Linked DNA regions of Alligator mississippiensis. The main gene of each other region encodes a partner of the protein of the gene in region 2 in a complex. Links are inferred from orthologs where the notes say so. Each region holds a gene or a part of one and is shown on either strand. Other genes may lie near its edges.

Region 1 (3,742 bases), on a different chromosome or scaffold from region 2:
ACAAAAGGGTCACGTGAGGCATCCTGAGCAGAGTTCGAATTATATTTTGACTCTTGGAGGGGTGGGGGTCTGCAAAAAAACCCCAAACGGTTCATTGATTAGCAAGTTCACCTAAGTGAAGGAGCAATCCAGTCGCGCCCCCCTGGTTATGATTTTCAAATCTTACAGGGGGCTCATGTCTCTTACTGGGGAGGGGGGGGTGCTCAGCCCTGCCACCCCTCCAGCTCCGCCTTAATTCATACCCCGATTGTGTGGGCTAACTCCTACTGTTTAACTCTGTGCCACTTGTGCCCAGTGCTGCTGCCCCCCTCCCAGAGCACCAGGGGGCTGAGGTGCCTGTGAGGTGGAGGGAAGGGCTGGGTAGGCCAGGGCTGCTAGGAGGGGCAATGACCTTACAGCTCCCCACAGTCTCCCATGTGTTTATGGTGGGGCTTTCTGAGGTGAACCCAGTGCTCCCAGATTATGACATGCTGAAGCCTTAAACTATGTCCATTTTAAGAGGCCCCATATGATAAAAACAATCCATGAAATCCACAAAAGTGGACTGTCATGAAATCTTAAGATGAATTATTGTTTTTTCTGCACAAATTTATGAACTGACTATTAATAACTGTGTAGCCATATAGATGTATATTTTTGTCATATTAGAACGAAAATGTCCAGACTCCTTTCTTATTTAGAAGCCCCTCATATTGCAAGGCCCTAAACTGTACCTTAATCTTAAATCCCCGCACTGGAAGACGCTACTGCTTATCACCCCACAACCCCGAGACCTGGAGGTGCGAGGTCCCCGACGGGACGGGGCGGGGCGGGGCGGGACAGAAAGCCCCCTCCCCTCCTCGCTGACTACGAATCCCGCCATGCCGCGCTGAGCGCGGTCCCCGCCCACGGACCACAGCTCCCAGCATGCAGCGCGCCGCGGCCACCAGGTTCCGCGGCATCTCCTCCTCACCGTCTCGTACTCCCCACCATTCACCCTACGGACTACACCTCCCGGCAGGCCCCGCGCGGCCTCGACCATAGCCAAGCGCGGCGCTCATCTACCCCCCTGCACTACCACTCCCGGCATGCAAAGTGCACAGCTCACGTCAGTGCTGTGGCGCAGGGCACGCCGGGAGCTGTAGTGGGGGTCGCCGCAGCCGGCTGGATTCCACGTGGTGCGCCAGGAGCCGGGAGGCGGCGGGGGGGCGGAGCGCGCCCGTGCGACGCTTTTGCGGCAGTGCGGTCAGGCGCGGCCGCCGTATTCCGGTGGCGATACCGGCTGTGGTGCCGCTACCCGGCTGAGGCGCGGCGGGGGCGCGAGCGGGGAGGGAGCAGCGCCCGCCGGCTCCCCCTGCATGGTCCGCGTCGCTGCCGCGGGGCCTCCTCCTGCTGCTCCAGCTCCCCAGAGCCGGCGGGGTCCGGCGGGGGCGGCGCTGCGCGGCGCGGGCGGGGGGCGGGTGGCGGGGGCTGCCGGCGGGGCGGCGCCGGGCGCTGAAGATGGACTATGACTTCAAGGTGAAGCTGACCGGGGAGCGCGAGCGGGTGGAGGACCTGTTCGAGTACGAGGGCTGCAAGGTGGGGCGAGGCACCTACGGGCACGTCTACAAAGCCAAGCGGAAAGACGGGTGAGTTCCCTGCCCGCTCGCCCCTCGGCCTCTTCCTTGTGGCCCTGTCCCCCGAGCCACCGCCCGCCGGCCTCGGCCACATCCGTCCGGGCGCGCCTGTCGCTGTCCGGCCCGTGGTGGCCCCTGCTCTTGCCCTAGCTCGGCCTGGGCTCCCCTCATCCCCGGCCCCCACCCGCTTCTTCCTTTGGCTGCTCTGTAGCCCCTCACCTGTCGCCCTTCACCTCGGACCCTTCCCCTTCTCTTTGCCCTCATTCTCGTTCCCTGTCTTGGCACCGCTGGCTTTTTTTGTCCCCAGGCGTGTTTTCTGTGGTGGGGTTTGATAAAAAAGTCTGTCTGCGTGTGCATCGTACTCCGGTGTATCTCCATCTTTGTCTCTATCCTGTTTAACTTGGCGACTTTGCTGGTGAACAAATGAGTGTCCGGGTTTAGAAAAGCCTCAGCCTGGCCAGCCTTTGGTTTGTGTAGGGTGGGATAGGAGCCCCCCCTGCCCCCTCCCCCAGTAGTGGGTTTGTGTCTGATTTATTACTTCGAGTCACCATTTTGGGTGTTGTTGCGGATTGCTCTAGTGGCTGAACTCTCTCTCGGCCCTGTAGGGGGTTTGGCAACCGTTTGGAATGAGGATCTGTTTCTGTGGCCAGTTTGTAGCACAGGAGATGCAGGGTTTTGCACAGATCCTTGGAAAAAGAAGGGGGCCAAGCTGTTGTGTAAGGTTTTACTAACCCACAACAAAGCATCACTTTTTCCACAATGGAACTTGGGGAGCAGGAGAAATGGGAAGCACAGAGCACATTGTTCTGCCTACTCCAATGTTTTAGCAGTGTTTTAGTTTGCTTACTCCATTTATTTCTCCTTGATGAACCCCTTCCCCAGTAACCTTAAAATGTTACTAATCACCTTCCCATGAAGGTAATGCTGGGTCATTTCAGCATTTTCAAGTGGCAAATATTTGTAATTCAGTAAATGGAAGAGATTTGTAAAGAAGTCTGTCAATTATGAATGATATATTTAGCTAGGCTTTATGTACTTCTGATGTTACATAGATGTGCTTTCCATTATTACATATAAATGCAGTTTTGCACAAACTTCTCTATTTAAAGATATTTTAAACATACTCAGATTGATCTTTAGCATAACCATTCCAGTCTCTATTTGTTTGCTGGGATGGGCCAGCTAGTGTGTGCGTGTGTGTGCTTCCTTTATAAATTAAAAACCCAGCTCTGCAAACCTGAACAGCTCACAAGAACAGTTATTGCTTAGGTGACTAATTTTCAACTGTGTGAATAAAGATTTTTACAATTCAGTATTATTGTCTCAATCCTCCAAGCATGTATATGTATAACTTCATTGGCATAGGTTGTCCTATAGATTTCAGTAAAGGTAAGGAATACGTGATGAGCTTTCTGCTATGACAATGACTTGAAATGTTTTGAGTCCAGAAGCAAAGCAATATCTTGATAGGCATGGGGAAAATACAGGTGAAATACTGTATTTGAAGTAGTAAAGCAGTAAGCTAAAGCCATTCCATAATTTGGGATATATATTGTTTAGAAAACGTTTATTAATTTCACATGCATTTGAGGGGAACAAAAAAGTTTAACACATTAAAAGGTAACAGTAATTAACACACACTTTTCAGACTCCTTTTCTCTGTAGTTATTAAGTGTAGCAGACCTCTGCAGTGTATAAAAGAACTCAGAATTTGATAGTACTTATGATGCATGAATTCAAACATTTTTAGCAGAATCATCAGTCTGCATGATGATACTTAACAGAGCAGTGTCTGGAGTTTCATAGTTTCATAGTAGCTAGGGTCAGGAGGGACCTGAACAGATCATCTAGTCTGACCCCCTGCCACAGGCAGGAATGAATGCTGGGTTCACAAGACCCCAGACAAGTGATCATCCAACCTCCTCTTGAATTTGCCCAAGATAGGGGCAAGGACCACCTCCTTGGGAAGTTTGTTCCAGCTTTTGGCCACCCTAACTGTAAAATATTGCCTTCTGATCTCTAACCTAAACCTATTTTCCATCAGCTTATGACCATTGTTCCTTGTCACCCCAGGTGGTGCTGGGGAGAAAAGAGCTTTGCCTATTTGCTGTTGATCCCCCCTGATGAGCTTGTAGGCAGCCACCAGG
Region 2 (3,742 bases):
TCCGTTACAGGAAAGAGAATTGGGGCAGATGTTGGGCCCTGCCATACGTATCGTTTCCATTTAATGCCAGTTAAATCAGCCTGGGGGAAGAGAAAAAACAAATTCAAGGACGTGTTTGGGCAAAAGCAAAGTTTACTACATCCAGAAATCATTTCTAGTTTCTTAGTTAGAAAGAAAGTATAAGAAAGACTCAAAATAAGAAACTGCCAGAGGATCCCTACTTGCTATGAAAGCATCAAAGATTAAAAAAGAAACAAGCTCCATTGGTTAGGTCAATAAAACTTGTCTGAAACTATATTCTAATTTCGTAAACCCAGGCGTATACCAGAATGCCAAAAAAAGACCCAACCCTAGGTCCCAAGTTATGATGACCTTTATCCTGTTTTAAAACTGCCTGAAATAACAACTCTAATTATTAGTAGCAGAAGCAAACCTGCAATGAAACTAATCAACTTTTTAAAGGCAGCAAAATAAAAAAAAATTAAAAAAACAGAAGTGAAGGGCAGCAATGGAGTTATTTTCAAACAATTTCGTAACTGCGTGATTATTAACTAATCACACATCTTGGCAAGGGATTTTTTTCTCTGGACTTCATCTTGCATTGGCCCTTCTCTGTATTTAAGTTACAAAGCCCTTTCAGAAACCTGTATACAGTCCGCCTATCCTCAAAGGACACTTTCCAATCCCCTGAAAGACTTTACCGGTTACAGCAAAAAAACACAAACCCTTTCAGACACAGGGAATACTTCAAAGAAGCATGGTGACTATACCCTGCACAACACTGTTCTCTTCTCATCTCATGTCTTACAAGTGAAATTCTAAATTATTTTTCCTTGCTGTAAATGTGTTTGACTTTGGTCAGGAATGAGAAGTTATGATGTGTCCCGGACCTTCCGAGCCAAAATGCATTTTCCCCTGCTTCTTCCTAGAGGCAGATTACCTGCACCTAATGGGGAAAAGACGAAGCTAGAACTGTTATTTACAAAGCAACACTACTAGAGACTAAGGTGAACGCTATGACCACTGCTTGGCTGGAGCAATGACCTCGAAGGGCTTGCCAGGAGGCACCATGGGTTTTAAGCTAATAAATGAGCCTCTGTGATGGATACCTTGTACTTGCTTAATGATTTCCTCCTCCCCCATATGAGAAAACAGCTAAGAGTATTGCAGCTCCAGGTCTAACATGGCAGCCTCCCCTACCTCAATAAAAAGGGGCAAGGCTGGATTCCAGGTTACGAAAGGATTTGCAACAGCTGGTCCTTCTGAAAGACTAGAGGGCTTAAAAGATGTTGGTGGTATTGAGCTACAGGCCTGATGCTGCCCGTCCCCTTGCTATCTGGCAGACACGACCAGGCTGTCCAGAGTCCCCTACCCCCAAATCCGCCAGTGCAACAGACCGACACATGTTTGACAACAACCACCATCATCCTCAGTACCAGGTAGCCTACCTGGCACGCGGCGACCTGCGGGCCAACGCAAGGCTGTCTACCTGGCACGCCGCGACCTGCAAGCGACTAAGGCAAGCCCGAGCCGTGACCCCCCCCCCGAAATTGACTTGTTTCCATCAAGTTGGCGTGGGCAGCCATCAACACGAAACCGCGGACCCCCTAACGGGGATCGCCCAAACCGCTCGGACGAAAGCGAGCGGCGGAGCCAATCCACCCGGGAAGAGCGGGGAGCGACGCTTCCTCGGACAAAACGCCCCCGGCCACGAGATAAGACCGCGGGTTCGCCCCCCGAAGGAACCTGGCCTGGTCTCCCACCCGCGAGCGCCATCGGGCTCGGGCTGGGGGGGGGGGGGAAGAAAGTTAGTTTGCGTGCCGCCTTCCTGTCAGCGCTAACACGAAGACGGGTGGCGATCGGGCGGCGGGAGCTGGGGGCTGGGAAGGGGCAGGCGAGCCGTGGCGATAGGGAGCTGGGAGTTGGGGGCCGGGAGGGAGAAGGGGCAGGCGAGCTGTGTCCGCACGGTGGTGGGAGTTGGGGGGGGAGGAGGAGGAGGGGCGCCAGGAGACAGACAGACAGCAGGGTGGGGGGAGAGGTGAGGTGCGGGGCCTACTCCGAGGACTCATCCAACCCCTAAAAAAATGGCTGCTCGGCCTCCCCTCCCCCCCGCGGCGGTCGGGCACTGGCTCACCAGGCAGAAGAGGTTGGAGTGGCAATCCTCCAGGCTGGCCCCGTTCGGCACGAAGCAGGAACTCATCCTCACAGCCGCAACCCGCGCGCCATTATCCCACAGCCTCCGACAAGAAAGAAAGAGACAGGCGGGGAGGGAGGCGGGGGGCGCCCGCACGGCTCGGCGCCGGGCCGGGGCCGGGGCCGGGGCGCCGGCGGGGGGAGGCGCGGGCGCTGCCCGCCGGCTCGGGGGGGCCGCGGCGGCAGGAGGCGGAGGAGGAGGAGGGCGGCGATCCGGCGCGGGGGGGCGCGCAGCGGGCGCGACCCTCCGTCAGGGGCGGGGGCGGGGAGCGACGCCCGGCCCCTCGTGTCCGCGCGGGGGGCGGGCGGCTCCCGCCGAGTCCGGCCGCCCCGCCGAGTGCCCGCCGCCGCGGCCGTGTCCGCGCGGGGGGCGGGCCCCGAGTGCGCGGCCTGCGTCCCGGAGCGCCGCCCGCTCCCTCAGCGGTGCCGCTGGCGGCGGCTGCCCGGCCGCGGCATCCTGCCCTGCGCCGCGTGCCGGGGGCGGTGCGGGGGGCGCGGGTGGCGGTGCGGGGCAGGGGGGGGGGGTCTGCGCTCCCGCTCCGATCCGAGCCCCTTTTTTTTTCTTTAATGGCGGCCGCGGGGACGAGAGTCCGGGGCCCCCCCCGCCGCGCCGCGATTGGCCGCCGCCGCGTCACGTGGCGCCGCCCGGTCATGGCGGCTCGGCCCAGGCGGCGGCGGCGGCGGCAGTGGCGCGGAGCGGCCGCTGGGGCGCGAGGCAGCGCTGTTGAGCCCGGCCCCTTGCCCGTTGAGGCGCCGCCATCTAGCGGCCGCCCAACGCCTGCGGCCCAGCCGGGGGGTGGGTGGGGGGCGGCCTGGAGGTGGGGGTGCAGGCCCCAGCCCTCCTGGCTGCCCCTGAGGGGTGCCCTCCACCACCAACAGTGCAGACAAAGCTGGGCGGCTGGGTCGCGCACCTGCACCGCCCGTCGTGCTCGGGACGCTTCTCCGCAGGTGCGACTGGGCTCTTCAGCCGTCTTCAAAAAGTCACCCCCTCGTGTCAAGGGCAAGCCGGAGGAGACGTTCGCTAGTAATGGCGGGAGGCCACGTTGAGGGCAGACCTGAAGAAGGCGGACGGCCGCGGTCAAGCCTTGGGAGGAGCGGTTTGGGCGACGGCCTCCCGTTTTGAAGGAAACGGTCTCGCCCTCGCGGTGGAGGACAGAGAGCAGGGGGGGGAAATCGGGCCTACGGTCTGTTCTCCGCTGTGGAAAGACCTGCAGCTTGGTCCGCGGTTCACGGATAGGACTAAGTTGCCTCGAGACCCATTGACGAGCCACGGTAGAGATCTTCAAATCAAGGCATCGCTGCTGCCGCCAGCCACGACGGCAAATTCACGAGCCTGCGGCTGGACCACAAGCGCTCAAGTTGGACGGACCATCACGGCTGCGGCATCGTTTTGACATTGTTTTTTTAAACGTAGCTTTGCTGGCTAACGTCTTCTAGCCTGGCTTTGCCAAAGGGTCTGATACAAACGATCGAGAGAGTTGAACAACCGGCGTAGGATGGTTTGGAAAGGGGGCTGCAGGAGGTGACCGCTGGAGGTCCCTTCCACCCC

What was found. The genes of interacting proteins can lie anywhere in the genome.
Region 1: the proteins of MED13 (region 2) and CDK8 are in contact, whole or in part, in a cryo-EM structure (PDB 8TQC), measured with the Homo sapiens proteins. The link is inferred for Alligator mississippiensis from reciprocal best matches to the Homo sapiens genes MED13 and CDK8. Residues at the interface, in NP_005112.2 of Homo sapiens: Thr1616, Met1617, Asp1618, Arg1619, Lys1621, Val1622, Gly1623, Ile1624, Pro1625, Thr1626, Asp1627, Gly1628, Asp1629, Ser1630, Val1732, Lys1733, Thr1734, Leu1735, Thr1736, Gly1737, Phe1738; in NP_001251.1 of Homo sapiens: Leu9, Glu12, Arg13, Arg71, Lys74, His75, Pro76, Leu81, Gln82, Lys83, Val84, Tyr133, Asp137, His140, Tyr141, Met330, Gln331, Phe335, Leu336, Leu340, Pro341, Thr342, Ser343, Asp344.

What each region holds. Positions count from the first base shown.
Region 1 is NC_081824.1:429,552,000-429,555,741, reverse strand, and holds the start of CDK8 (cyclin-dependent kinase 8), read left to right. Parts: upstream 1-1,441; 5' UTR 1,442-1,479; coding exon 1,480-1,607; intron 1,608-3,742.
Region 2 is NC_081837.1:3,769,602-3,773,343, reverse strand, and holds the start of MED13 (mediator of RNA polymerase II transcription subunit 13), read right to left. Parts: upstream 2,423-3,742; 5' UTR 2,201-2,422; coding exon 2,135-2,200; intron 81-2,134; coding exon 1-80. UniProt on the Homo sapiens protein: Component of the Mediator complex, a coactivator involved in the regulated transcription of nearly all RNA polymerase II-dependent genes.